7 linked regions of the Danio rerio genome follow. The main gene of each other region encodes a partner of the protein of the gene in region 7 in a complex. Links are inferred from orthologs where the notes say so. Each region holds a gene or a part of one and is shown on either strand. Other genes may lie near its edges.

What was found.
Region 1: polr2eb (region 7) and taf1c share a complex: the UniProt entries of both Homo sapiens proteins name them as parts of the pol I pre-initiation complex. The link is inferred for Danio rerio from reciprocal best matches to the Homo sapiens genes POLR2E and TAF1C.
Region 2: polr2eb (region 7) and taf1a share a complex: the UniProt entries of both Homo sapiens proteins name them as parts of the pol I pre-initiation complex. The link is inferred for Danio rerio from reciprocal best matches to the Homo sapiens genes POLR2E and TAF1A.
Region 3: polr2eb (region 7) and gtf2e2 share a complex: the UniProt entries of both Homo sapiens proteins name them as parts of the TBP-based Pol II pre-initiation complex. The link is inferred for Danio rerio from reciprocal best matches to the Homo sapiens genes POLR2E and GTF2E2.
Region 4: polr2eb (region 7) and gtf2f1 share a complex: the UniProt entries of both Homo sapiens proteins name them as parts of the TBP-based Pol II pre-initiation complex. The link is inferred for Danio rerio from reciprocal best matches to the Homo sapiens genes POLR2E and GTF2F1.
Region 5: polr2eb (region 7) and uxt share a complex: the UniProt entries of both Homo sapiens proteins name them as parts of the PAQosome complex. The link is inferred for Danio rerio from reciprocal best matches to the Homo sapiens genes POLR2E and UXT.
Region 6: polr2eb (region 7) and taf1b share a complex: the UniProt entries of both Homo sapiens proteins name them as parts of the pol I pre-initiation complex. The link is inferred for Danio rerio from reciprocal best matches to the Homo sapiens genes POLR2E and TAF1B.

What each region holds. Positions count from the first base shown.
Region 1 is NC_133196.1:7,081,507-7,085,518, forward strand, and holds part of taf1c (TATA box-binding protein-associated factor RNA polymerase I subunit C), read right to left. Parts: intron 3,102-4,012; coding exon 3,030-3,101; intron 579-3,029; coding exon 443-578; intron 1-442. UniProt on the Homo sapiens protein: Component of the transcription factor SL1/TIF-IB complex, which is involved in the assembly of the PIC (pre-initiation complex) during RNA polymerase I-dependent transcription.
Region 2 is NC_133195.1:55,114,699-55,118,710, reverse strand, and holds part of taf1a (TATA box-binding protein-associated factor RNA polymerase I subunit A), read right to left. Parts: intron 2,731-4,012; coding exon of another isoform or gene 2,604-2,730; exon of another isoform or gene 2,564-2,603; intron 1,323-2,563; exon of another isoform or gene 1,202-1,322; 5' UTR 1,173-1,201; coding exon 1,049-1,172; intron 1-1,048. Other genes in the region: mia3 (transport and Golgi organization protein 1 homolog), read left to right, coding at 2,604-2,730. UniProt on the Homo sapiens protein: Component of the transcription factor SL1/TIF-IB complex, which is involved in the assembly of the PIC (pre-initiation complex) during RNA polymerase I-dependent transcription.
Region 3 is NC_133176.1:24,433,276-24,437,845, reverse strand, and holds the start of gtf2e2 (transcription initiation factor IIE subunit beta), read right to left. Parts: upstream 2,861-4,570; 5' UTR 2,720-2,860; intron 1-2,719. UniProt on the Homo sapiens protein: Recruits TFIIH to the initiation complex and stimulates the RNA polymerase II C-terminal domain kinase and DNA-dependent ATPase activities of TFIIH. Both TFIIH and TFIIE are required for promoter clearance by RNA polymerase.
Region 4 is NC_133178.1:32,749,187-32,751,931, forward strand, and holds the end of gtf2f1 (general transcription factor IIF subunit 1), read right to left. Parts: intron 1,432-2,745; coding exon 1,227-1,431; 3' UTR 719-1,226; downstream 1-718. Other genes in the region: alkbh7 (alpha-ketoglutarate-dependent dioxygenase alkB homolog 7, mitochondrial), read left to right, coding at 41-165, 297-417. UniProt on the Homo sapiens protein: TFIIF is a general transcription initiation factor that binds to RNA polymerase II and helps to recruit it to the initiation complex in collaboration with TFIIB. It promotes transcription elongation.
Region 5 is NC_133183.1:10,252,788-10,257,359, reverse strand, and holds the start of uxt (protein UXT), read right to left. Parts: upstream 3,020-4,572; 5' UTR 2,802-3,019; coding exon 2,719-2,801; intron 720-2,718; coding exon 638-719; intron 455-637; coding exon 387-454; intron 295-386; coding exon 187-294; intron 1-186. Other genes in the region: zgc:86609 (ER membrane protein complex subunit 3-like), read left to right, coding at 3,663-3,817. UniProt on the Homo sapiens protein: Involved in gene transcription regulation. Acts in concert with the corepressor URI1 to regulate androgen receptor AR-mediated transcription. Together with URI1, associates with chromatin to the NKX3-1 promoter region.
Region 6 is NC_133195.1:32,286,058-32,290,691, forward strand, and holds the start of taf1b (TATA box-binding protein-associated factor RNA polymerase I subunit B), read right to left. Parts: upstream 3,011-4,634; 5' UTR 2,918-3,010; coding exon of another isoform or gene 2,900-2,917; intron 2,813-2,899; coding exon of another isoform or gene 2,714-2,812; intron 616-2,713; coding exon of another isoform or gene 528-615; intron 423-527; coding exon of another isoform or gene 325-422; 5' UTR 90-324; coding exon 57-89; intron 1-56. UniProt on the Homo sapiens protein: Component of RNA polymerase I core factor complex that acts as a GTF2B/TFIIB-like factor and plays a key role in multiple steps during transcription initiation such as pre-initiation complex (PIC) assembly and postpolymerase recruitment events in polymerase I (Pol I) transcription.
Region 7 is NC_133197.1:17,298,938-17,303,604, reverse strand, and holds the start of polr2eb (DNA-directed RNA polymerases I, II, and III subunit RPABC1), read right to left. Parts: upstream 3,036-4,667; 5' UTR 2,945-3,035; coding exon 2,888-2,944; intron 2,727-2,887; coding exon 2,552-2,726; intron 2,176-2,551; coding exon 2,060-2,175; intron 1,967-2,059; coding exon 1,886-1,966; intron 730-1,885; coding exon 671-729; intron 525-670; coding exon 446-524; intron 365-445; coding exon 299-364; 3' UTR 294-298; intron 1-293. UniProt on the Homo sapiens protein: DNA-dependent RNA polymerase catalyzes the transcription of DNA into RNA using the four ribonucleoside triphosphates as substrates.

The sequences.
Region 1 (4,012 bases), on a different chromosome or scaffold from region 7:
CGTCGATTCTCTCAGATGGTGTCTTTGAAGGTTCACTCTGTGTGACTGTTACTCACGTGAACAAGCAGTGATTTGCCTGTGATTTCACACATTTGTCTGCGATTTCTCTAAACTTGTTGGCGAGTCAAAATCGGGGCCAAAATCATGCAGTCTGACCTCGACATAAAAAGTCAGTCTATTTTTAGAGAATCATTATTTAGGAATGATGAAAAATGTATATGTATTTTGAAGCTTGTAATTATTATAAATTAAATAACTGTTTAATATATTTAGGGTGACTATTTTAGCATCATTCCAGTCACTACAGAGGGGGAAAAAAGCCTTTGGGATAATTCTGGCACATTATACCTTTCTGTAATTATAGAATGTGCATTGTCTCTGGAAAAAAAAAACATTATAACATCTATAAGCAGGTTTTATTCAGTGATATTTCAGTCTTTACCCGTATGTCTGTAAGCTCCGCCCCTGTTCTGTCAGCATAGACCAACACTCTCGGGTGGCAGGAGAAATCACACCATCGCCACGGCGACTTGGCATTAAAGTACAGGTTGGCATCTTCTTCACGAAACTTCTGCAATCTGGAAGAGAACAGAGTTACAACATTCACACGCTGCATCATGTGGTGCAGGTTACATCAGCTCATTTACAGAACTACAGCTTATTCTTACTGCAAAAAAACAGGTTTGATTAATCATAAACTTCAGTTTAAGAGTGAAAACTGTTCTCTGAAGCTGTTGATGGAGGAACTTGCTGAAGATTCATGCATGATGTACGGTTGTTATGAATGCAATAAGGAAATTACATATAATTTGTGGGAATCATCGATATTTGGTTGTTCTTGTGTTTATAATAAATGACTTTTCCCAAATACAGCAGTTCCTTACTGATTCTACATGAAATGACAGGTTGAAATTTAGATTTTTTTTAATAGTCTGGGTTTTTTCACGTTTCAGAAAGCACACTTAAAATAACACAACTGTTATTCAAACAAATTCTGCACTGTTATGCATATCTTATAAAGTTATACGATGATTTTATTTAACAAAGAAAAAAAACACAAATTTAAATCTTTCACAGAAAATCTTGACATTTGCACTGGCTGTTTAATATAGCACAGAAGATAAAATATACAAATAAAAATAACGCAAGTGTCAAATATAAAATTATCTGTATTTTTAAGTCAAAATTAATTAAATATTTTCTGGCAGTGCCTCCAGGATTTTGCAGGGACATCATATATATTTTAGGGTTGTCTCAATACTGGAATTCGATGCCAATTGGTACTGTAATTTTAAAAACGTCCATTTCCCGCTAACATTTGAGCGCTGTTGAGCTCATTCTTAAACATCGCTGATTTGTCATTTTGTTCACATGCTCAACAGAAATGACTGTGATTGGCCGTGAAGGTCATCATTTCACCAAACTCACCACTGATTACAGAGTGCAACCACAGATACAGGGACACTGGAGCGTTTTAAAGCCGTGATGATCAGTCAATTCATCAGGGGATCTCTTGTATGTCAGCTTATAAACAGACCAGCTGAACTTTACAGCTTTAAAACGCTCCAGTGTCCCTGTATCTGTGGTTACACTCACTAAACGGTTTGGTAAATGAAGTGACCTTCAAGGCCAATCACAGTCATATATAAATATAGATGTGCGTGTTTGTTTGCAGCCTAAAATGGGATTTGTGATGTTTTTCTCAAAACTTACTAAAATTCTGTTTTTTCTGTGAAAATACACAGAAATCTTTTAAAATATTTTTTTAATAATCTCAAGATCCATTGAACTCGCAAAATTCTGGAAGAACTGCCCAGTTTTATTACTGACCTACACCAAAACTGTTTAGTTAATTAAAATAAAACCAAAACAAGGGCATGAAAACAGAACAAAACCTCATCCTCAAACCCAAAATAAGTATAACTAATAATTCACTCAATAAAGGTTCAATTTGAAATAAAAATTGTACAAAAACAATCAGAACTAAAACACAACAACACAAACAAGTACTGAAGATTAAACAAACTAAATGTTCAAACAATGAATAATTTACTAAACTAAATTATACTAAAATAACACTGATTTATGTGACAATAAATCAACATTAAATACCTGAAAATATGATAAAATGGTGAAAAAAGTATAATCTCAGTATATAAAAATATGCAGCTATCAAAGTGTTAGAGCGTTGGTTCCTAAACTGTGGTACGTTTACCATTAGTGGTATGCGGGCTTGCTTCTAGTGGTACGCAGAGGAATCAAATGTCATTTGTACATGCTACATACATTTCACATTTTATCAAAAATGGTTCATATATCAATATGGTGTTGAATAGCCTATATTCATAAAGAAACATTTACAGGTTTTGATGAATCGGATATTATATGTTAATACTTTACATTTTAGTACAGGAGTTTTTTTATTTTACTTTGTAAAACCAGTAGCCTACCATTCTTATTAACTTTTAAAAAGCACATTGTTAATGTTCAAACTATTTATAATCTTTAAAGTGGTCGATAATAATAAATATCATTAATAATAGGAATTAATTTGCCATGTTTTAAACTGTGCAGAGCTGTGGCTGCTTTGCTGGACCTACTACGCTATGAATTTCAATACTGCTCATTATGGTGGTAATTGGAGAGACAATTTTTTTCTGAGGTGGTACTTGGTGAAAAAGAGTTTGAGAACCACTGTGTAAGAGAATTCTTAATTATAGTAAATGCTTTGAAACTTGAATTTAACATAACAAATAAGGTTTTCTGGTCAAGCTGTTCTAATATCTAAAACTAATCTTATTAAAACATTACTATAAGCTTAGGTACTGGACAAACTCATCTAAAGAACCTTTTGTAGTGGATTTGATGAAGATGTTGGAGTTTTGTACACTGAGCTCTAGGCACAAGATAACAGTCAAGCACATATTGTTCTCTCTCACTCACTCACACACACACACTCACACACACACACACACACACACACACACACACACACACACACACACACACACACACACACACACACTTACCCTTTTTTGGGAGTCCACAAATACGCTGCTCCTTGCTCATTGGCAACTACAATCTCACCTGGTAAGTGTGGACTGTAAAAGACAACACATTCATACATACAAGTTATTTTATTATCATTTTAACTCATTTTTGTATTTATCTTTTATATTTAACTCATATTTAGAATAGAGTTGCAATGGCTAAAATGGTGCAAATACAAAAATCCACTGCAAATACAATGTGTATACTCCTAATAAGCACACGTTAAATAATAAATAATTATCCAGAATATTTTGAAGCTCCCATGATATCAATCCCAAACACATTCATTAACCGAATAACGGCATAGGTCTAAAGCAGGGGTTCTGCCGGTTTCACCAAGTTAAATTAAGACCTTTTAAAGACATTTTTAAGACCATAGTGAATTCAATTTTAGGCTTATACAGGGCTAAATGCTAAGGATATTTGTGATACCACAGTTGGAGAAGACTTTTAACTTGCCCTATTTAAAAATTATTATAATTTAATACATTTAACAATACAATCATAATAATATTTTGATAATAAAAAACTATTGGTCAGGTCAGTATCTTCAGAAGTAAATAAATGCAAAACTTTTAAACAAGTGTTACTGTACGGAAAGAAATTAAATGCTATTTTCATATTAGAAAATTAAGCGTTTTATTGAGATTGGGATTGTTGGTGATTGTACATGTGTTAAGGGCCAGAATGGTATACATGAACAAAGGAAAATTAAAACCTGTTAAAAAAAAAGATGTATAACCTACAACACAATAAGTCAGAAGACTTAAGACTTTTTAAGGCCTAAAGTTTGTCCAACAGATAAACATTGAAGTCATATCGCTAATATTATTGAATCATTTCAGTGTTCATACACACTTTCACTACTGTTCTACAACTGTTCTACTCGTAGTACTGTACTACTACGAGAACTGTTCGCTCAAGTTTAAAAAAATGTTGTGCGTTCCACCAGCCGAAATCA
Region 2 (4,012 bases), on a different chromosome or scaffold from region 7:
TTACTCGGTAATGCGACTTTATAACTCAGATATGTGACTTTATTACTCGAAATTGTGACTTTACAATATGGAATTGCGACTTTATAACTGGGAATTGCGACTATTACTCAGAATTGTGACTTTATAACTCGGAATTGCGACTTTATAACTCGGAATCGCGAATATTATTTAGAATTGCGACTTTGTAGCTCGAAATTGCGACTTTAACACTCGGAATTGCGACTTTATAACTGGGAATTGCGACTATTACTCAGAATTGTGACTTTATAACTCGGAATTGCGACTTTATCACTAGGAAATGGGACTTTATAACTCGTAATTGCGACTTTATAACTCGGAATTGCGAATATTATTTAGAATTGCGACTTTGTAGCTCGAAATTTAACATTTAAAATTGCGACTTTAACACTCGGAATTGTCTTTTTAACTTTGAATTCTGACTTTATAACTCACAATTCTGACTTTATATCTCAGAATTCTGACTTAACTCAGAATTGCGACTTTATAAATCAAATTGCGACTTTATAACTCAGAATTGCGACCTTATAGCTCAGAATTCTAACTTTATAACTTGCAATTCTGGCTTAACTCGGAATTGCGACTTTATAACTCTGAATTCTGACTATATATCTCAAGGTTTTGACTTAACTTAGAATTTTGACTTTATAATTTGTTTTTACATTGTATTTATTTATTTATTTATTTATTTTTATTCAGAGGCTGGAACGGGCTTCCATACTTTTGTCATCAGAAAGTGTGTCATGAGTAAAATTTGATAGAAATTTGATTTTCCCCGCTTGTTAAGGTAACGTTACATTAAGCCACGTTAAGCTTTTTCCTTTTAATGGACTTCAATGTTGATGTTTTGATGTTTAGGTGCATTAAGCCACTTTAAGTGCTTTAGAATGTCCCTCAGAATCCCAGCTTAATCTCTTATCTTATTTGTGTGCAATAACCCTCCGAATTGCGAAAACAAGTAACTTTACACGCATTCTGGGTGCATTATAATGAATTTAGAGTAAACATGAGGGTGTAAATGAAACTTTACCTCGGTCTTTAACTTGACAGTGAAGCTGGACTGGTCTTTTCAGCCGTTGCCGATGTTCACTTTCATCTTGTGTAAAATCCGCGTGTGTTTCTGCAATGTTGAGCTCAGCTTCGATGTCATCCATTTCTCAGTGCAATACGGCGACTGGCCTTCCTATTCAGATGATGATGATGAACGAGGCATGAAAGAAATATGTTATTATAAACACTATTGACTCACTAAATAGTGCACTTGTGAATTTGTGGACTTCTTTGGACATGTGAGGATGTGAACTAAACTCTTCTTCATAAAAACAAGCGATGATCGTGACCGGGTCATAGCGCCACCTGCAGCACTAGAGGAATGAGAGAAACAATACGAAGGACTCAATCCAGCAACCTTCTTGCAGTGAGGTGAAAGTGCTAACCACTGAGCCACCATGCCTGAAATATTAAATCTTACTATTAATTTGGTAACACTTTATTTGAAATTATAATTCACACTTGAATTAACGATTCACGATTAAACTAAGACTTTTAGCTCAATAATTTATTAATTTGCTGCTTATGGTTCATTAGGTATAGTTTGGTTTATGCATTGATTAGGAATGTAGAATAGGATAATATTTTATAAGTTAATATCTTATATATTCAATCATTCGTTCATTTTCGGCTTAGTCCCTTTATTAATCTGGGGTAGCCACAGCGGAATGAACCACCAACTTATTCAGCATATGTTTCATGCAGCGGATGCCCTTTCAGCTGCAACCCATTTCTGGGAAACATCCACATACACTCATTCACACTCGTACACTATGGACAATTTAGCCTACCCAATTCACCTGTATGACATGTGTTTGGACTGTGAAGGAAACCGGAGCACCCGGAGGAAACCCACACCAATATAGCGAGAACATGCAAACTTCACACAGAAATGCCAACTGACCCAGCTGAGGTTCGAACCAGCGACCTTCTTGCTGTGAGGCGACAGCACTACCAACTGTGCCACTGCGTCGCCTAATGCAGTAGTTAATAGTGTAAATTGTGATTTGAACTAACCATCATTAATTAGTTGACCTTATTAATTGAGGAGCAATTAATTGGTCTTTTTATTTGTTTTCTTATCTCTTTTTTTTGTTTTTGATGTAATCTCAACAAATAAATAGATAAAAATTTAATGAAATCACAATAAAACCAAACAATAAAGAATAGATCAAATGTAAATAATAACTACCTAAATAAAACTTTTTAAAAAATCCAAATAAACACACCAAAACAAATCCAAATAAATAAATAAATAAAAACATAAGCATGCCCCTACACACACTACATAAAATGTATTTATTTTATTTTAGATATTTGTTATTAAATTATATATAGATAAATATATTTTCACAGCACAGTGTAGAGCCAGTGTTCCCCCAGCTGATCTGTGTGGTGTGTTGTTGGTGCTGCTATCTCTTTAAGCGCAGGCTCTGTAACCTGACTCCAGCTTCTCTCCTCCTCACTGAAGCAGCTCAGCTCGCCTCCGGTCTGCTGACGTGTCGGCAGCGGCTCCGCGATCAACAGCTGCCAGCATGGCTGCACCGAATAATCCCCGGTTTTACTCACTTTTTACCCTCCTCCTGTGCTCGTGCTTCGGCGGGAGCTGCTCGGACCGGCGGTTCTCGGAGCTGAAGCGCTGCGCGGATGAAGAATGCAGCAGTGAGTATCTGCAACTTTTCATCTATTCGGGATGCTGGATCATAAAAGTTCTGCGCTGCTGACGTCATAAAGGCCGCATCGGCCGCCGCCGCGGGGAAACTGCAACTTTGTAACATTCTGTGACTTAAAAGAGTTCCATTAGAATGTCGATCCTACATGTGACGTACAGGCGAAAATGACATGAGGGCTGGCGCGTCCTTGAAGATCCAGTGTGCTGATAACAAATGCTGGGTTGTTGAAACCTAATGTTAAAACAAACCAACCGCTGGGTTAAAAGGTGTCAGTTAAATATAATTAGGGGTAAAATAACCTAACATTAGGTTTGTTCATATTTAACTCAAGGTTGGGTTACGAGAACCTAGCAGGTTTGTTTTTTTGAATGTGAGCTCAGTTTAGCTAGTCAAGCTAACAACAACAACAACACAGAGTATTGCATGCGAAATGAGAGCTTTAGTTTGATATTTTATGTGTTTAATATGATGTGAACACCCATTAACAGTGTTAAACACGAGGCCTGGATTTAAATCTCTGTCAAACAGAAGCGATTGGTTTAATGTAAATGGCGTATTTACATACAACCTGCAGAACATGATTCCACTGTGGGTGTTTTGCGCACTGAACCATGTTTTATATCTTCATTACTTAATATTTCCAGAATAGAGTTAAGGATGAATGGTATAATCTCAATATATGAATCAATCTGTATGACTACTTCTAAATTATAGTGAACACTATATTGATTTTGAACCATGTATTATGCAACACTTTTTTAACTACAGTGAACTGATAAACTAATAAATAGTGTAATATACTGTCGTTTTCACTACAGTAAACTGTGTTGTATTGTTGTTTAATAGGTCCTGTAGGTGTAGAATAGTACAGTATTGGGTCATTTGGTCATAGTTGTTGTGTTACCAACAACTACAGAATCACCAAAGCTTATTAATTGTACTTGTTGTACAGTATGTTTTAAAAACACTATACTCTGTAAGAGGCTGGGTGGTTGTAACCTAATGTTAGGTCAAATATGTCCAAACACAACCGCTGGGTTAAAAAAGCCATTTAAATTTAATTGAAAAGAATTAATTACCCACAGTTGGGTTACGACAGCCAACCATTTTTATTTTTTTAATGTGAGCTCAGTTTAGCTAGCTGAGCTAGCAACAACAACAGCAGCAGCAGCATTGAGATTTGTGTATGTGAAACGAGAGCTTTAATGTGTCATTTTATGTGTTCAATATGTTGTGAACACACACTGTAAGCATTAACTGTGTTAAACACG
Region 3 (4,570 bases), on a different chromosome or scaffold from region 7:
TTAAAAGCTACCCAAATCCACATGCAGAGGTGTAAATGCAAAAATTTGGTGTCATTTTAAAGGAAACACTTTAAAAGTGTTTAAAATAACTGTAATAAATGTTTTCTGTGTTATAATAAACACCTAAAAAAAAAAAAAAATTTGCTTTTTGTATTTTTTTTATAAACTCAAATTTGAAAGTGTACCTTTTAGGTTCTGTGTGGTCTAGGTTGCAGTAAATTAATTTTGGTGGTTCCTGCACATGTCTGTAATCATGGAAAAAAAGAAAAATGTCTCTCTTTACCATAATCTATGAAAAAGTTATTGTATTCCAACTGATGAGAGGTGCTATACAAGCCACAGGGATCGATCATTGTATTCATATTTCTCTATTCTTCTGTTTGATCAAACATAATTCACTGTGTTTGGACCACGTCGGACATATAAAAGGATTACTTATGCACATCACCTCAAAAACAGAGGAGAAAGGCCCTAAAAAGCATAAGGTAAGAGATGACCGCTGTCTGTGCTATCTGGAGCTGCTTATTGATCATGAATGTATTGTTTTCACTTCTGGGCCATGGAAATACCGCGATTTATTCGAAAACTGTTTGATGTGAATATAATTCACTAAAAAGAACGCTATAACCTCATGAGCACGGACAAGAGATTTAATTTGAGCTATAACTTGTACCTGTGTCATATATGAATCTTGTGAAAAATATGAAATTGAACCAATGTTTAAGGCAAGGCAAGTTTATTTATATAGCACATTTCATACACAATGGCAATTCAAAGTGCTTTACATAAACAAGAATAAAAGAAACAAGTAAAATAAAAATAAAAATAAAAACAAATAATAAAACTGATTAAAAAACATAAAAACAGGTAAAATGTGATATAAAAGAATGAAGAAGAAGAGAAAAACATGATCTGTGTCCGACAGTGCAATCTGTCGGACGCAGCACAGTGCTCATTCAGTAAAGGCACAGCTAAACAGATGTGTTTTCAGTCTTGATTTGAATGTGCCTAATGTTGGAGCACATCTGATCATTTCTGGAAGCTGATTCCAGCAGCGAGGGGCATAGTGGCTAAAAGCCGATTCACCCTGCTTTGACTGAACTCTTGGAACTTCTAGTTTATATGATCCTAATGATCTGAGTGATCTGTTAGGTTTGTATTCAGTGAGCATATCTGTGATGTATTTAGGTCCTAGGCCATTTAGTGATTTATAGACCAGTAATAATACTTTAAACTCTATTCTGAATGTAACTGGCAGCCAGTGTAGAGACCTGAGGACAGGTGTGATGTGCTCTGATTTCCTGGTTCTGGTTAGAATTCTGGCTGCAGCGTTCTGGATGAGCTGCAACTGTCTGACTGTCTTTTTAGGAAGACCAGTGAGGAGTCCATTACAGTAATCCACCCTGCTGCTGATAAAAGCATGAACAAGTTTCTCTAAGTCTTCACTAGAAACAAAGCATCTGATTCTTGCTATGTTTTTGAGATGATATTAAGTGTAAATAACTTTTTTACAGTAGAATAAAAACCAAAGTGATGCATATGTGCATAAAATATAGCTTCTACACTTTCAAACAAAACCACTTTCCATGGAATTTAACTGGTTAAACTGTCACTAAATGCACTACAGAATGTTATGTTTTCTCACACACACACACACACACATTTACAAATTACATGTACCGGTAAATACATCAGCTTTTAACAGCGTAATACTCACTACTCTTGAGGACATTTAAAAGGACTACTTTTTACTCATATTTAATATTTACAACAGATATTTTTACTCTACTTGCACTACATTTCTTTGGTCAAGTAATGATACTTTTACTTGAGTATATTTTTTCAGTAGTCTTTCCACCACTGATGAAACCTAAGAAAACAAAACCACGAATGAGTGCTCAATTAAACAATAACTTTTAAATGAACATATTATATAGCCACAGCATATATATTAAGGTAAACTTGGTTTTATATTTACACATTCATTCAGTGGCAATTTGTGACACACTCCCTACATTGTTTACCACGGCACCTTGAATATTCAGTCTGAAATAAACTGCAAGTGTAATTTGAAAACTTGAACACTGTTTATTTGACTGTGAACATGTACTTTGATAATCATTGGCTGCTAATATGATTTCGCTATTTAGAGTTTGCAAATAGTACTTTTATGAAATTATATTAAGGAGGAAGTCCGAATGTGCGAATAAAAAACCGACTTTACCTCTATAGCACGTGATATGTTCCTTATATTTCTTAATCATTACTATTATTAACTTCTATAGATTACAGTAAATGATTATGTGATCAGTTTTCCCCCCATGTATGTTTAGATAACAGGGGCTGCTATTAATTCAGTCTCCACTAATAAATGTAACACTTTTCAAAGATTTTAAGGACATTTGGTGTTTCATTTATAGACACACATATAGACAGATGTTAATTTTATTCCTCATATTTAACTTAGATATTAAAGCACATTGCTCATGTTGAGATCTATGAGGTCAGTTGGAGGTTTAGCCTCGTCTAACATACTGAGATTTATAAGCCTACTTATTGACAGCTAATACTTCCATAGTGAACTGCACAGTGAACATCTAACACCTAGAAACTTAACTAATCGTCTAAAATCACAAATGGTATCAACTGGAAACATCCTAAACACATCAAACATGAAGCAATACATCCACAAAGAAAGAAACTGTGAGCATTACGTTACCTGAATCTGTCACTGCCTTCTCTCTCCGAGAGAAAGAGTTTTGAGGAATGTTAAATATTATTTCCAATTATCATACGCAATCAGCTTACTGACAAAGCAAAATGAAAAGCTTGTCATAGAACGCTAGCTATGCTATACAACTACATGTATTTCCTCCGGAAGACAAGTGTTCTTCTTCTTTGTTTGTAGTCGCGCAGTTTGCAAAGACGACCTTTGCCACCTGCTGGTCAGAAATCGTTTTACATGTGTTGCGATGTTCCCATTTATATTTATTAGCATTAATGGATTATTTTCAAACATTAATCTCGAAAAACATTATTTTTAAAAAAAGGTAAGTCTATTTTAAGCTTATACCCATACGCAACCCATCCTAATACAATTATGTGTGCTCTTCTCATCTTTTCCAGTAGGAGGCGCATGTTCTGATTTCTTTGCATAACACGGTCTCGTGCTCGTGAAGACAGAATGGCAGCTACAGATGCACAGAAAGTGATTGTTTACGGGGGAAAAGGAGCTCTGGGCTCGGCATGTGTGCAGTATTTCAAAGCTAAACACTGGGTAAGTTGTATAAACCCAGAAGACAAGACACATTATTGAAAATAACTATTTCCCCCCCTTTCAGTGTCATCAGACACGCTTCACGTGTTTTAGTAGTACTATTAATAATTAATTTACTCAAAACAATGTTATGTGTTTCTCATTAACTATATCGATTCATGCATTTCTTCTGGCCTGTAATATGTCAATAAGGAACATGTTTGTGTTTGTGGTTTTCAGTGGGTTGCCTCTATTGATCTCAGTGCCAATGAAGAAGCCAATGCCAATGTTACAGTTAAAATGACTGAGTCCTTCACTGAGCAAGCCAACCAGGTAAGAAGGAAATTATTTCCGATGACAGTCAAGCTTGTCAGGGTCAAAAATTATTACAAGGCTCAGGAAGATTCATTTTCCTAGATGTTCTTGCAGCAAGGGACTAATACAGAAGAAATACAGGTTCCATCCTGGTTGCTCAGAGAGCAGTCTTACAGGGCCAGTTTTTATACAGGCATACAAACAGATGATGAATCATTGTCTTTCATTCTTGTAAAAAAAAAAAAAAAACAATCTGTTTGGTAGAATTCAATTGATCATATACTCAACTTTTTGTCAGCACATTATTCCTGCAACTAGCACATTCCAACAATTTAACTCTTTAAAAACTAAAATTGAATATGTAATTATATCAAGAAGCGCATAAATGTATAACATTAACTTTTGGTTTCTTTAAAAGTATAATGTATTAATATAATATATGAAAATCAATCAAATAAATTTATCTAACAAGCTTATTTTAAGCAATTCCAGTGTCATGGGTTCAATTCCCAGGTAGTTTAACTGACATAAAAAAGTTTGTTCATTGCATCAATTTTGGTTGTTTAGCATAAAAGCATGGATATATATCCACGGGTTCATTTTATATTAGTTAAAGTCAGAATTATTAGCCATTATAAATATAATATATACATATAATTTTTTATCTAATAGACCCTTTTGGGTTCACAGTCTATTATTTGTTACAGAGGAAATCAATTTGATTTATTTAAGTTTCATATTATGATATCATATCCTAAAATACATTTTATGTTGTGCATTTTCTTTCTGCTCATGACTGAATTGTTAAACTTTTAAAATTGCTATTGCTGTGTATTAAATTATATTGTTGTATCCTTAAAATGATTTAATACGATTTGTATTCATTAACAGGAATGAGTATTGAGAAGTGGTCTGTTTTAGTGATGCTAATTTGAATGCAGGTTACTTGCTACAATATTAGATGACATCACAAGACAGACTTTATCAGTCAGCAGCAAA
Region 4 (2,745 bases), on a different chromosome or scaffold from region 7:
TACCTACATGTTCATCATTCCATGTCATTTGTCCTGTCAGTTCTGTGGAAGCACCATTGCAGGGCTGAGCTTGTTGTCCGATAGTATAATGCGACTGGTCCCGGAAAACAATACCACAGATCGGGTGGATTTGCTTCTAAGTCGGCGCTCACTTTATATATTACGGTAAATATTTACATATTTATTATCCCCACCCCCCAAAATTTCTCAAGTTATAAGAGAACTAAATAAAATTTCTGTTATCATAGAATATGAAGTAATTTTACCTCTAAAACACTACTACTTTAAATCAACAGGGATGATGCACGATTTAAATTCACCCATGAAATCTTAAAAGATGAAGAGTCCTTTTTCTCTGGACAGAAGGTTCCACGTCATCGCCGCATCTCTGTGATATGCCGAAACCTGCCCATGTAAAACAACTGAGGCTGGACTGATCATAGCACCTGTCTTGAAAACCAAATAGACCTCTGTTGATTCAATTTTCAGTCTGATGTATTTTTCCTTGAATAACCACAAAAAAGAGACTATTTGGGGGGAACTAAAGCCTCTGGAGAATTTATGAAGGGAATAGATCAGATTCATGTAATTTATCATATAAATGGAGTATGAAAAAAGATGAGACCAGTCAACTGCTTCTATGTACAATGTCAATTTTTGTATCCATTATTAACTTTCCTCTCAAATAATAAATCATTATTGCATAGAGAGCATCAAATTTCAAATAAAAACAAATAGGTATTTATTTCAGAACAGATTTAACATACTACGAAGGGCAAGCGCCAGCAAAATGTGGTACCTTTTACAGTTTTTTTTTTTAAAATCAGCACAATGTTAAGCCAGTTAAAAAAAAAATCTATGAGAACAAATGAGTGTGTAATAAAAGCCACATCTTCACATTTTCTGAGTCCTTATTTAATTTCTTTCTTGGAAAAACATTAACCAGCTTCTCATTAAGATGCATAAATGTGAAATTTACAAACACACATTTCCCATATCTACAATATACAAAAACTCACTGTGCTATCTTTCTTTGCAACGTTTCTTTGTCATTTTACTCTTGACCTCCGGTATTCTCAGCTTTAACTCAATGAGCAGCAGTTTAATGACTACTGTAAATAAACACTGGACTGTTAAAAGCAAAATGACAGCAAAACAAAGAAGGTGTTCACCAAAATGAGCTGCATTCCTGAAGGCGAGGCTGCTGGTGATGGATGCTCAGAGTTTCACTCAGTGAGGTAGAAGTGCATCTTGTCATTGATGTTCTTCCTCTCTGGATTGAGCCTCTTTAAGATCTGCGCGAGCACATTGACCGTCTGCTCGCTGCTGAGGCCTGTGCGTTTAGTCTGGAACTTCTTCAGCAGGTCTTTAGTGGTCATGGGCTTTCTGATGAGATACCTGCGCACCGCATCCTCTGTCAGCAGCACATCACTAAAGGGGAGAGAGAAAAGGATTTTATTTACAATATTGAAATAATCAAGAGTTAAAATGGTCAGTAACTCTGGCAGTGCTTTTGAAAATTTGAAAGGAAAAAGTTGGTGTAATGTGTTGCTACATTAAGTAGGTCTAATACACAGTGACATACTGTTAAAGACTTGATATAATTGAAGCTAAGTATTTCATTCTTTGCTTTTTCCATTCAGCAATATACTCAGCAAAACATTTCCAACATTGCTGGGAGTAGCAATTGGATGTGTAAATATAGTCATAGCAATGTAACTCTGACCCTCCAATCAGCTCACATTTATTTAGTCCCTTACAAAAGTTATTGGTTAAACGGAAGCAGCTTTACAGTGCTGACTGTGAAATAAATGTGTCAGTAACTATGTTTCCATCCACTTTTTTTTTTTATTTATACGCATATCCAACATGCACATAAAATAAAAAACGTAAAAAACGCCAAAAATAAAAAACGCCAAGATAAGAAGTTAAAGAGTTAAATAAAAATAACTTTTTATTCGATAAGAAAAAATGCGTATAAAGACTTTCACTAAACAAATTTTAGTATGCGCATTAAAAAAAGTCATTGATTTTGATTATGTGATGATAAAAGATGTGTGTGAGTCGACAAACCAGCAGGCTTAGCACACTGTAAAACATGAAATGTTATTTTGGTCAGTCTGAAACACCCTAACCAATTCAGTATTAGTGTTATTATATTACCTCCAGAACTGCTAAGAGTGTCTGTGCTGTGCGTTAACTGCGTGTCAGCATCATCTTCTGAGGCACAAGTCATTTATTTAATTAAGTAAAAGATTCACACAGCTTCTCATACCTCAGGAAATTAAGTTCCTTTTACTTTTGATATTTGACGCCAGTTAATTAGGAAGTGACAATTTTGATTTGTTTGACTTGTTGGATGGAAACTTTGCTTTATGCACAAAACTAGAATATCGCATAAAAGGTGTGCGAATAAAGTTAATTCACATTTTTGGAAGGAAACATAGCTAGTGTTGCTGGTTTACTTTAGTTTTTACTGAAGCTGCTCTGAAATGTGCTAGCCGAAGAGATGTTTTCTAGAAAGTTCATTTGGCAAGCTGTTTCAAACACTTGAAACAACCTCATTCTGATTTTGTTGAATATATCATGCCACTTCACAGTCTTTAATTCTGCACTCCATGGCTTAATGCAAGTATAACCAAGTAAAATTCTCAGAGATGGAAGGATAGAATAAACATTTGAAAGCTAAAGGCCTGTGCAAACCGTACAATTCTCACTCATGCTTACCGCTGATGTGTAACATTT
Region 5 (4,572 bases), on a different chromosome or scaffold from region 7:
GTTCATTCCACTGTGGCGACCTCTGATGAATAAAGGGACTAAGTCGAATGAAAACGAATGAATAAATAAATTTAAAGTCATAGTCATGCGTATATTTAGACACAAAAATCTATTTAGCAAATATAAACTTTTAATTTTGATGCAAATAATCTCGATCGTTTGACAGCACTACTAAAATCCTCTTACTCTGTGAGCTGATTTGTCTTCTTTTCAATGAACTTCAAAGCCTCTGCGTGCGTGAATTCGACAAAGAATCCATATCCGACTGCCACATATATTCTTGATGCATCAGGTCTGGAAAAAAAGAAATGAGATTGCCCTTTCAAAAAATGTTCAACATCTCCACTGACGCACAGCACCACAGACGTCATGCAAACAACACTTACACATGAGCCTGCACATAGAAATTGCAGCCAAGGTCAACATCGGTTTTCAGTTCTTTGCTGCCGCTTTCCTGAAGGTGAATCAAACACAGCCACATATTAAAAGCGCACAAGGCAGAATGAGAGCAACTGAGATGGACAGTAATAGTAAATGTAAAAATTTTTTACACAGCACAAACTATATCTGAAAACAAATAAGTCAGGACATAAGAATAAGCACAAAATATGCAAATACATATGCAAATCTCACATACCTGAATGCTTTGTATTGTGTTCTTCAGCTGCAGGTATTGTGCGATTTTCTCATACACAGCATCTCTTTGCTCCAGCACTTTCCTGGCAGAGCAGAGAGTACTCAAATGAAAAAATACTATAGTAATTTATGGTAAATACTATAGTGTTCTTGAACTATATTTTATTATATTGTGTTCTTCAGCTGCAGGTATTGCCGTATTTTCTCATCCACAGCATCTCTTTTGCTCCACCACTTTCCTGGTGGAGCAAAAAGAACTTACATGAAAAAATACTAATGTATTTATTGTAAATACTATAGTATTTTGAATCATATTATAGTATAGTACTTGAATTAATATTTTGTGGTGACTTTATAGTTATTAACACAACTATAGCATTATAAACAAACAACTAATACTGTGGTTTTCTACAACTACAGGGTTTACTATAGTAAATACTGAAGCACACCATTACAGTTTAACAGTTCACAATATTTATTATATACTTACATATACTAAATAATATAATACATACACTCACCGGCCACTTTAATAGGTACACCTGTCCAACTGCTCGTTAACGAAAGTTTCAGCCAATCACATGACAGCAATTCAATGCATTTAGGCATGCAGACATGGTCAAGAGGATCTGCTGCAGCTCAAACCGAACATCAGAATGGAGAAGAAAGGTGATTTAAGAGGCTTTGAATGTGGCATGGTTGTTGGTGTCAGACGGGCTGGTCTGAGTATTTCAGAAACTGCTGATCTAATGGAATTTTCACGCACAACCATCTCTAGGGTTTACAGAGAATAGTGCAAAGGGAAAAAAAAGTTCTGTGGGTGCAAATGCTTTGTTGATGCCAGAGGTCAGAGGAGAATGGCCAGACTGATTCAAGCTGATAGAAAGGCAACAGTAACTCAAATAACCACTCGTCACAACCGAGGTATGCAGAAGAGCATCTCTGAATGCACAACACATCAAACCTTGAGGCGGATGGGCTTCAGCAGTAAAAGACCACTCTTTGGTGCCACTGCTGTCAGATAAAAAAGCAAACTGAGGCTACAATTCACACAGGCTCACCAAAATTGGACAATAGAAGATTGGAAAAACGTTGTCTGGTCTGATGAGTCTTGATTTCTGCTGCCACATTCAGATGGTAGGGTCAGAATTTGGCATCAACAACATGAAAGCATGGATCCATCCTGCCTTGCATCAACTGTTCAGGCTGGTGGTGATGGTGTAATGGTGTGGGGGATAATTTATTTAACACCACAGCCTACCTGAGTATTGTTGCTGTCAACCCCTAATGACCACAGTGTACCCATCTTCTGATGGCTACTTCCAGCAGGACGCACCATGTCATAAAGCGCAAATCATCTCAGACTGGTTTCTTGAACATGACAATAAGTTCACTGTACTCAAATGGCCTCCACAGTCACCAGACATCAATCCAATAGAGCACCTTTGGGATGTGGTGGAACTGGTGGTTCACATCATGAATGTGCAGCCGATAAATCTGCAGCAACTGCGTGATGCTATCATGTCAATATTGACCAAAATCTCCGAGGAGTATTTCCAGTACCTTGTTGAATCTATGCCACGAAGGATTAAGAAAGTTTTGATGGCAAAAGTGGGTTCGACCCGGGACTTGAAAGGTGTACCTAATAAAGTGGCTGGTGTGTGTATAGTACAATTCACTTTACTATAGTATTGTTTAAAAACACCATTAAAATTACAATAAAGTACTATAGTGTTCCTTATACTGGGTTCCACAGGGTTATTAATTCCTTCATCTTGTCCCAACACAAATCGATCAAGTTAACTTTATTGTTTTTACAAATTTAAGTAAACTGAAATAAAAAAATGTAGTTGTGCTAAAAAAAACTCAAGAATCGTGTTGATTCAGCTCATTTAAACAAGTACTTTGGACAAGCGTACATAATGTTTCCAGAACACATAGTAGCATTTCATAATAGATTAGCTTAAACAATATAGATTAGCATAGAGCTGTATTTGTATGGAATTAACGTACAAGCATGGTAACGTTAATACCATGGCAGCTTCGTGTACGTGCAAAATATCCATATTAAATGATACTTACTGCAGGTCTCGTCTTAATACTTCACTGATGAATGTCTCATACTGCAAGACTTTGTCATTAATAACAGATGTGCCAGAAGTCATGATATGAGATGATAACAGATCGAAGTTTTATTTAATAGCAATCGATGTTTCTAATATTAATGTGCATCAAACATTAACAGCACGTCGCTGGGCTGATGCAGCGATTAAAGCTTACATATGACAGATTAATATATTGTAGTAGCAAATATATGAAGTATCGAGTACGTTAAATGAAGCTAAACCTTCCTTCGGTCTGTCACGTGGCTCCACACTTGTTTACAAGATACGCGGAAACGTCCTCGGTCTAAACCGGAAATGGCGTTAGCTAAACTTTTGTTTTATAGTTTTCCTATAATGAACATCTACGTTTCGTTTTTATTTAATTAATGTTTACCTATTAGAACAATTCTCTCAATAAGACAAATATATTTGTAAATACAATATAATTTAAAGCGTTGACGCAACTTCCAACAAATTCTTTCTCATTCAAAACGTGTTAATTAAAATACCTGATTGCTTCAAAGATTTTATTAGAGCTATATATACCCAATTTCATAAAATATCTGTATTTACTATGTCTGCGAATAAAAACTGTCAAGTTTTAAAGTGACTCGGTACAAAATAGACTCGGTTCAGAGTGTTCATTTCGTGCACAAACCACCTAAACCGGTGTAAGACGATTCGAACAATTCATTTCAAAGATCCGACTCATCAAAACGACTCGTGTTTGAATCGCTACTAGTTCAAAGGTCATACGGCAGCTGCTCAAATGGCGCATGTTCATACAGAAATGTGTCTAAAAGTTATGTAGTTACACCACCGTTTGACTTTTCATCGTAGTATTAATTCCAGAATTGAATATTCATTTAAAAAAACTTTAGAAGTGTCAGTGTTTATAGTTCGATTTCAGTCAGCATAGAAATGGCAGGTCCAGAGCTGCTGCTAGACTCCAGTATTCGCCTTTGGGTTGTTTTGCCCATAGTCTTCATCACATTCTTCGTCGGAGTTTTGCGGCATTACATCACTAAACTCATCCATAATGAGAAGAAAGTGGATCTGCAGCAGGTGTCTGACAGGTGAGAATCAAAAATACAGGTGTTTAGATATAAACAGATACATTAAACAACAATAATCACTATCTGGAGTTCAGAAACAACATCAATCAATCTGTTACGTTCAGAATTAAAATAAAATCAGTTCTGATTGCTGAGTAAGTAGTGTAGAAATATTCCAAGTACCCTTTATATGAATAAATAAACATGTGTAATTAACTATGAGAAATCCTAAGTTCAGAATTTTTATAAAACCTGACTAATTAACAAATCAATTAATTTTGGGGGCTGCACTGATATTTCAGTACAATGTCATCAAATGATTCTTGTTCTACACTGCCCGACAAAAGTCTTGTTGTCAATCCCAGTTGTAAGAGCAACAAATAATAACTTGACAACTAGTTGATCATTTGGAAAAGTGGCAAAAGGTAGATTTTTTTTTTTTGATGAGTCATCTGTTGAACTGCATCACAAGTACTGCAGAAGACCTATTGGAACCCGCATGGACTCAAGATTCTCACAGAAATCAGTCAAGTTTGGTAAAGAAAAAATCATGTTTTGGGGTTAGATTCAGTTCGGGGGCGTGCAAGAGATCTGCAGAGTGGATGGCAACATCAACAGCCTGAGGTATCAAGACATTTGTGCTGCAGATTACATTACAAACCACAGGAGAGGGCAAATTTTTCAGCAGGATAGCGCTCCTTCTCATACTTCAGCCTCTACATCAAAGTTCCTGAAAGCAAAGAAGGTCAGGGTCAGGGTATCTGCGGGGTCTTAAA
Region 6 (4,634 bases), on a different chromosome or scaffold from region 7:
ATCATTAATTATTCAGCTATATCATTCATTAAAAACATAGTCTGTAAGAGGCTTACTTCCTGTTTATTAGTGTCGATTGCAAGTGACATGACAGGAGAGTCCTTTTTGGGTTTAACCTGTAAAATGATCCTACAAGTCGCACTGTTTATACATTATATTTTACACTTGCACCCACAAAAAAAAAAACCTCTACAATAAAGTAAAACAAATTATACAGAAAATTACATAATTACATAAGAGATCAATGTACCAAATATAAAATCTAACAACATAAGAATACTGTGCAAACTACTTAATTTGATTCAGTAAACGAAGAGCACTAACCTCAAACTTCATACAAACACCTAGACTGACCAAAGCCTTGGCCTGGTGTTTGAGGATGAACTGAAATCCCTCACAGACCAACCACTCCCTTTCAGAATCTGAAAACAGACATAAGAGGCGTCAGGTTCAATTTTTCATTTTAGCACAATATCCTGTTAGAAATGATCAACAAGAATAAAAACAGTAAGTAAAGCTGGACTGACCATGTTTTTTCTTCTTGGGTTTCCTGACTATTGAGATCCTGCCATGCTTATGATGAAGGCTGGTAACATCCTCTACCTCCCTTATTTTCTAGAAGATGTTAAAACAAGCAACATGCTTTAGGTGTGTAAAGCTTATAACATCATGCCATTAAGATGAGACACTGTAGACAAAACAGTCATCATAAAGTGTTTCTTTTATAGCACTATAAATTTGTGCCTGCAGATTTCTATTATATTACACGTTTTCAGATGCTGTTTTTTTTTAAAAATTGGTTTTGTTCTCCTGAAATGAGCCATAAAGCTTCTTCAGCAAGTCTTACACCAAACGTTTTTGTTTTGTTTGTCAGTTTAAAGGTGCAGGAGGTAATCTGCCAAAATGCTATCCGTTAGCATATCTTAGAAAACCCCAGCCATCCCAAGCCAGGACTCCTGAAATCATGAACGCGCAGCTTAAAGTTGACAGCAGACAATCACTAGATTGTGTCATTTGCCAGTTAGAAAACTTTATAGTACTTATAAAACTACAATTCCGAACGACATACTGTATTATATATCTAGCACATTTTCAGTTCTGTCGCAAGCAAAACTTGTCATGATGTACAATATTTAATGCATGCAAGGATCGCTGGTCTCACTCTTTCACACGATTTGTCCTACAGCGACTACTGTATGCTTAGTGGTTGGCCGGTGGCATGCAGGAATTACACTTATTACTAAGCCATATTTACATGCTATTTCAGGCTGAATATTCAGCGTAGCATGGTAAACAATATAGGAGCACTTCACAGATTGTGAGTAGCCCCTTTCACACAGTGATACCGGTAAATATCCGGAAAATTTCCGGAACGACTTTACCGGTATATTCAAAAAAGCCCTGTTCACACAGGTAAGGACGTTACGGAAATTTTCCGGAAAAGAGCATTCACACATCCATTCCAAAATACCGGTAAATTCTGACATCATTCACCACAAATGAGCTTTAAACGGCTGCGCTTGTGTTTGTAAACATTTGACTAAATTACAAACTCTGTGGATGATCAATATTGTGAACAACTTTCGCAGGATCACTTTCGCATGTCGAGATGTTCATAATATCTGCGTGTGCAGGCGCTCACAGGCTGTTTCACAGGCACACGCAAAGCTTGAAGGTAAACAAACAACGGCTTATCATAAGCATCTCATCGATGATTATTTACACAGTTGGCATTAAGAAGAACATATAAACGTGATCTGACTAACTTCTAGCAGCTAAATGTGTCTGGAAAAATATTCAAAGGCTTTTATTCTCACAAACCCCGCGGACGTAAATGCGTCTGACTGTTGTGATTGGCTAAAGCAGACGTCTCACGTCAGCACGTTCTAGACGTGCACGCGCTTATTACGGGAATCTTCCTTCTGCATTCACACAGCGCAGCATTCCGGCAAATTGCCGGTAATGTTACAACTTCTCTTTCCGGAAAATAGCCAGAACGAATTTACCGGTATTTTCAAAAAGGACCTGCCGGAAAATTGCCGCCAATTTTCCGGAAAGGTCTGTATGTGTGAAAGGGGCTAGTGTTAAACAATGAACCAATGTGATTATAAAACTAACTTCAGCTCAGTAGAGCAGGCTGGGCAGAAAAGCGCTATTTACTGATGTTTTTTTTTTTTTGTTAAACTAAATAAAAATCTACATTATCGATGCTGTAAAAGGTCCCTTATGCAATTGAAATTAGTCACATCAATCGTTTGCCTGAAGATTCGGCTGAACAACACTTCTGTGCATGTAACCCATTCATAAAACCTGCATAAGCTTTACGTGACTAAAATACTATTTTAGTTTTCATAAAATGAAAAGTTTTCATTTATGTCTGCTTTCAATAAAAATAAATCAATCAACCGGGGGAGTATGATAATAATTAGTAATATTTATTTACCCAACTCCTGCTTTAATTAGCTTTTTGTTTAATGATTTTTTTTAAATTAATTAACCAATCATTAAATTAAATGTTAATATAACTATTAAAGTCAGCAGCATAATGAAAATCAGCAGAAAAGTGAGTAAATTATAATACATACGACAACTTCATACCTGTCCATGCATTTAAACAAGCTCATAGGAATTGGAAGAACTATACATATGTAAAAAAAAAGTGATTTCTGTCTATGTATTAATGTACTATATATTAAAATATCTATTAACCCACCTCGATGACATTGTGGCAGCTCTTACAGAAGAACTGACCCTCGTCTGACACTCCCCAGTCCACAGCAGCGCACTGTCCGCATGGCTCACTATATCCACCCTGGAGAAACAGCACCGCAGCTCACAGAGTATAACGAATTTCCACATAACACTGCAGACTGACAAAATACACACTAGAGATACTTACAGTAATTTGTTCGTCCATGGTGTAAACGTAAGCTGAACTTCAAAACATGAGACAATTTTTGTTTTCTGTTTTCAGCGTGAGCATACTCGCTTTCAACATGGCCGACTATACGTTTTTCATAATAAAAGTCACTCGTTTGTTCAGCGTAATATTTTACAGTAGGCCCTGGCCCACTGATCTAGAACCCTTTGGTAGGGCTATTTCATTTTACTATATTGTGTAATATGTATATGTGCATGTTAATTACAATTTTGATGTTTATTTTTTTCTTCGTTTACAGTATAACTCAACTCATTTACACGTATAATTTTAAACATCTATTTTATTAATGAAATGTAATTATATTGTATAAATATATGTGAATCAAAATAATAATAATAATAATAATAATAATTCATACTTCAAGTTTAGATAACAAGGCATAGCCCCCAATTTGCACATTGCCACATTGTAGGAATTATATTATCCCATATAATTATTTTATGTATTTGCTCTATATTATGTTGTTAAACATTTATATTGTCTGGAATGTAACTAAATTATTTTTAGGCTTGACAGATAAGTAATAATAATAATAATAATAATAATAATAAAGTATTGACTCTATCATGAATTCTCTATTAACTTATCTTGGATACATAAATTGCGATTCATAATTATTTTTATATAGAAATTATACATTTATTTTACTTGTTTTATTGTAAATGCATGTCTCTCCTGCAAAACAAAGATGTGTCACAGTCAATGGACAGTAGATGGCGCAAAAATCCATAGCTAGATAAAACTGACAGTAAATGGTGGTAGGCTACTCATTACCTGGATTACAATCAGCCTGCTTGAGTCAGAATTTCTATTGTTATTCTTTAATAAATTATAACAAATAGTAGGCAAATACAAAATAGTGTTCATATTCTCGTTTGCTCATCATGACCTTTCTATTGTTTGTTGTTAAAAACCCTAGCAAATTTAAGATGCCTCATATTTAACATTTAAACTATAAATATATAAAGTTCCAGTTAATGCAATTGTGGCTTAAATGTGCAATGTAACAAAAATAAAATAAATTGTGCCCATCAACAATGCTTCCTTTCCTCCTCCCCACCTCTTTGAAGAAAAGCTGCTTCTTTCACCACTGGGCCAATTTCATGGTTTACTGCCTCCCATGCGTTTCCTCGTGTTCTCTATGCAAAACACAGCATTGTTGGCAATGGAAATCAGGAACAGTCAGTAACTGCAGGTGTGGGTTTTGTTCTTCACACTGAAACAGCGGATTGCTCTCCCTACAGTGTGGCACGTTTTACATCCCCACTTGTCCTCCACAGACGCCGCATAGCGTGGATAGAGATTGTGGGAGGCTGTGGGCGAAAAGGGAAAATTATACAGAGTCTAGCTCACTTGCTTATCTGGTATATAAATATTACATGCACTCTCTGCCTTTCCCATCACGACTCTGCTGCTTCCTGCTGTTCACGGCACCTGAAGTTGGCTAAAAGGAAACAGGCACTTTCCTTGAGCTGCTCAAGACTGAGAAGAGAGACCTTATCTGTGATTAAACCATAAAATTAAATAATATATAAAAACGCTCAAGACATGTTGATGACCGTGGAGTCAATCAATCGATTGAGAGAAGTGAACAAGTTTAGAAAAGTTTGATAAATTCTCAGACATTTCTTTGTTATTTAAACCTAATTAGGCTTTACTTAAGGAATCATTGATGATAATAAAATGGGGAATC
Region 7 (4,667 bases):
CCAATCAACTGCATTTACAACAGGTGAACTCCAATTAAGCTGCTGAAACATCTTAAGAATGATCAGTGGAAACAATGTACCAGAGCTCAATTTAGAGCTTTACAGCAAAGGCTGTGAATACTTGTGTACTTTTTATTTTCAATAAAATCTTTTTTCACACTGTCATTGTGGGGTGCTGTGTGTAGAGGATGGAAAAAATGAATTTAACCCATTTTGGAATAAGGCTGTAACATAGAAAGATGTGGAAAAAGTGAAGCGCTTTATTTAAAGGTTAATAAAAGACAAGAGCTCACCAACATTACTGGACCAATCTGTATGTGATGTATCGGCCAGCCGTTTCACTCGGTCTGATGATCTTAACAACCTGAAAAACACACACAAATTCACAAACTATCAGCTGATTGCGGTCAATCAAAATGAGCTAAAAATTGGGCTGATTTCCTACCTGGCCTCTTTTTAAGCCAAAGTAACGTGCAACGGGATCCCCAGCTTGAATTCTGGGAAGTTGGCTTTCCTTTAGCTTACTGGAGAAGCGCTGGTTAAGGTGACCTACATGTACTGTGAACTATCCAACTGGAGTTAAACATATATAATACACAAAGTTGAGCTAAACCATAGAAATATGAAAATAACACTGCTGTAAACTTAAGCATCTTTCATGAAAGGATACTACCGCGCCAGCAACTCAGTCACTTCTTCTTTTGTCATAACTATGTGCTCTGGAACAAGCTGAAATACATGAAACCATAGTTATTGCAAAGGATAATTAGATAAAAGTGTTAAGCATCTTAAAAAAGTGCTCAAAACAAAAATGATGAATATATTAATTATCAAGAAAAAAAAAGGTGCCCAAACTCGGCACTGCAGAGTTTGGCTCCAACCCCTGAACCAGCTAATCGAGCTCTTACTAGCTCTACTAGAAACTTCCAGGCATGAGTGCAGAAGCAAGTTGGATCTAAACCATCTAAGACTGAGTTTGGGCATCTCTGATCAAGAGAAACAAGATTTTCTTCACAAAGAACCAAATTATACAGTGGAATTCAATGGATCATTCTTCAATGGGCAATATGAACAGCTAGTGTTTTTAAACCAACAGTAAAAGGTTTTTGTGACTATTTATAAGGTTGCTTTTACAACATCGTAATGTAATTGAAATACAATCCCTTAAATAAACTTAAGCATTCATTTAGTAGTTCAAGCATAAAATGAGATAATAGACTGTGTAACTGCTAGCGCTGTCAATGGCAGCAGGCTAGCGCAGAAACTCCATTCAAAATACTGAGGTAAAATAATTTAACACACCGCTTTATAGCACTTTATATCATGTATGTGTGTGTGTGTGTATATATATATATATATATATATATATATATATATATATATATATATATATATATATATATATATATATATATATATATATATATATATAAGGCACCGGAAACCATATTAAAAGTCTGTGTGCATATAGCCCATTGTGTTCAAAAGAAGAAAGAAACTTCAACGCTAGAAACTAGTGGACGGAGATTAAATGATGTCAGAAGAGTTATTTCTGTGTAAACTGGCTTTTTAAGTTAGGAGATTCTGATTGGCTGTGGATTTTTTTATTGTTCATCAGCTAAAAATATAATAGTTCTCCGAATGTGATTTTGGACTAACAGTAAGTGATACAACATTAAGGTGCTTTTTTCCACCAGTGAATTAAAAACCGTGCAGCCATTGACTTCCTTAACGGGAACAAAAATACTACAGCAGGTCAATGGCTGCTGCTTTCCAACATTGTTGTCAACAGAAGAAATAAACTCAAACAGTTTTGGAACAAGGGTGAGTACATGATGACAGAATTTTCACTTTTTGGGTGAGCTATAACTTTAAGTCTCCTCACCTCGTGTTCTGTAATGTTGATTAGAAGCTCCTGCTGAAGAAACTGCTCCAGTATGTACTTTGGTGCCATGTCGACCAGAGACTGAAATGTGACAGAGAGAGATAAAAAAACGTATTTATCTTGTAAAGTGCTCGACATTAGAACTGTAAACATTAGTAAATGTGCGAGTTGCACCTGTTTGGCGGAGGGTGTCATGCCCATCTGTACTACAATGATGGCGCGGGTGATGTTTTCCTCCTGCATGCGCTGGCAATACATCTTTATGGTTTTGATGCCAACCTTTGGTTCCTCTGAAAGCAAAATTGAAGTTTCAATATATTTAAACTCTTTAACGTAAATACAAAATTGATCAACCACTCCACTGAGGTAAAGCTGGTTTCACGTTTGTCCATTTTTACCATGATGCTTTGAATATTCAGTCTGCAATCGCATGGAAGTATGACTTTAAAACAACATTAGCCCTATTTGACTATTTAATTAACAGTGATGTATTTGATAGTAGCTGGCTGCTAATATGATTTCCCTGTTTAGAATTAGCATAGAATACTTTTCTGAAATTATATTATTAAGGAGATTGTCCGAATATAAAACCAACTTCACCTAATAACCACTCCTTGTTATCTCGGACTAGTTAAATAAATAGGGCTGCTGCGGAATAAAACATACCCGGGAAGAACACAAACATCTGGTCGGTCGGGTCGTCATTGTGGGCCACCAGGACTGTCAGGTCATTTCGTCGTGGTCGACCCTCGCTCGGTTTATCTCCAAACTGACTCCTGAATTCATCAAGAGTCTGGTCCAATTCATCCTGCGTCACCAAATATCCGCGATCGTGACAAAGCTGTTGGTTAAATATCAACATTGTTATTACATCATGTTATTTCTGTTATTTAAATGTGTATGGTTTTATAAAAGACATGAAATCCATTCAATAGTAAACCGGAACAAGCATCACTAAACTGTGCGAAACGTTATAAATAAAGCATATATGTCTTTCTTTACCTGCATTATAGTTTTTCTAATTTTCCATAGTCTGTATGTCTCTTCCTCGTCATCCATACTGCGCTATAAATATGATTAATACCAAATTTTGACGATCAAAACAATCCGCTAATGTGATGCTTCTTCTCCACGTTTGTTTCCCGTTGCTGGCGCGAGTAAATGACGTCAGACGTTACGCCACAGCGTAGATACAATGCGCAGCTTTAAAAAAAAAAAAAAAAAAAAAAACAATGCGCAGCTTTATTTCGTACAAAAAACAGTGCGCGTTGCTTAGAAGTATCACAACTTCTAAGCAATATCACAGCTATTGCTTTCTTTAAATACTGATTTTGTTTTATGTAAACGAACAAGGAAGGAAAGAGAGTTGTATAGCATTTGAGAAGTGCGTAGGGTTTGAATCGTTTGAATATAGATTCAATCGAACAGTTCAAATATCCGGTGTCAAGGCGATTCAGTGATTCATTTTGACCATAGAGCGTCGTCCCCAGCGTTTTAGGAAATGTTACAGGGTTAAAAAAATACATTAGCAATTATTCCAGAGGATTTTGATTGAGTAGATTTACGTCAATTACATTTATTGTAACGTTATGTCTGCTTGTGTTCAAAAGTTAACAAAATCGATTAGAACAATTAATAAATTGTTTTGAAAAAGGGTTTACAAAAGGATAACGATCATTAATTTTGTCTTATTGTAACCCACCTATGAAATTGATTTACTGAAAAGGGGAAAATTATCTACTGGGTCTGAGCTTTCTAAAGTATATATGAAATTTCAACACAATTTACTTGAAATCTCGGGTTCGGGATATCTCAACTTAACGACACAATATATTATTGAATGGTGTGGTCAAATTTTACATATTATTAATACTATAATCTCCAACTGCTCAAATAAAAAAAAATAAAAAAACCCAAACACAAGAAAATACTTTTGAGTTTGCTGTATTGCAAATTTTCTGGTCTGTATCTGAACTGCTTTTCAGCCCTTATAAAAACATACTCATGTATTCAAAACAAACAAAATTAAATAAATAAAATACAATATGTTGACAGCAATTCAGCCCTTTTTGAAAAAAAAATAAAACTATACAGAAGTAGGAAAATACAGTTTCAGTTGTCTAAACGTCCCAATTTCAACATATATTTATATATATGAAACTTCAAAGTCCTGAATGTAATGTAAAACGTAGTTCAATGACTGTGAATCAGTGTATGTGTTTCCTACGAAAATCCTTGACGATTGAGTGATGACATGCGTCCATCCAAATTGGGAGAAATCCTCACGGAGTGAATGTAACGAGCCACTCCCCTTGCCTGCACGAGTCCAATGCGGCCGCGGCGCGATGGAACAGTCCAGTGTCAGTTAGCTAATGCAGCAAAACAATTTGGGACATTAATTTTATGCAGAATTGGCAGGATGGATTAAATTAGAAGACAGCCAAAACGTGTCTCTCCTGTCTTCACCACAAGCTGGCGTACAAGTGACGTCAGTCACCCTCTTCATATAACTTCACAACTTCACATAACATTGCTAACTTCAACTAAGAGCATTTTCACAAAATAGTTCACAATATGTTCAAAATATATACATATAAAACAGAGTAAAACACATTGAACACGGTAAACTTGTACATTTACAGCGATCCATGAACAGTATGCATCATCTATACAATATAGCTAAACAAATCGAAAAGTAAAATAAATATGCAGGAAATCCGAATGTATATAACTTACCTAATGCAGCAAAACAATTTGGGACATTAATTTTATGCAGAATTGG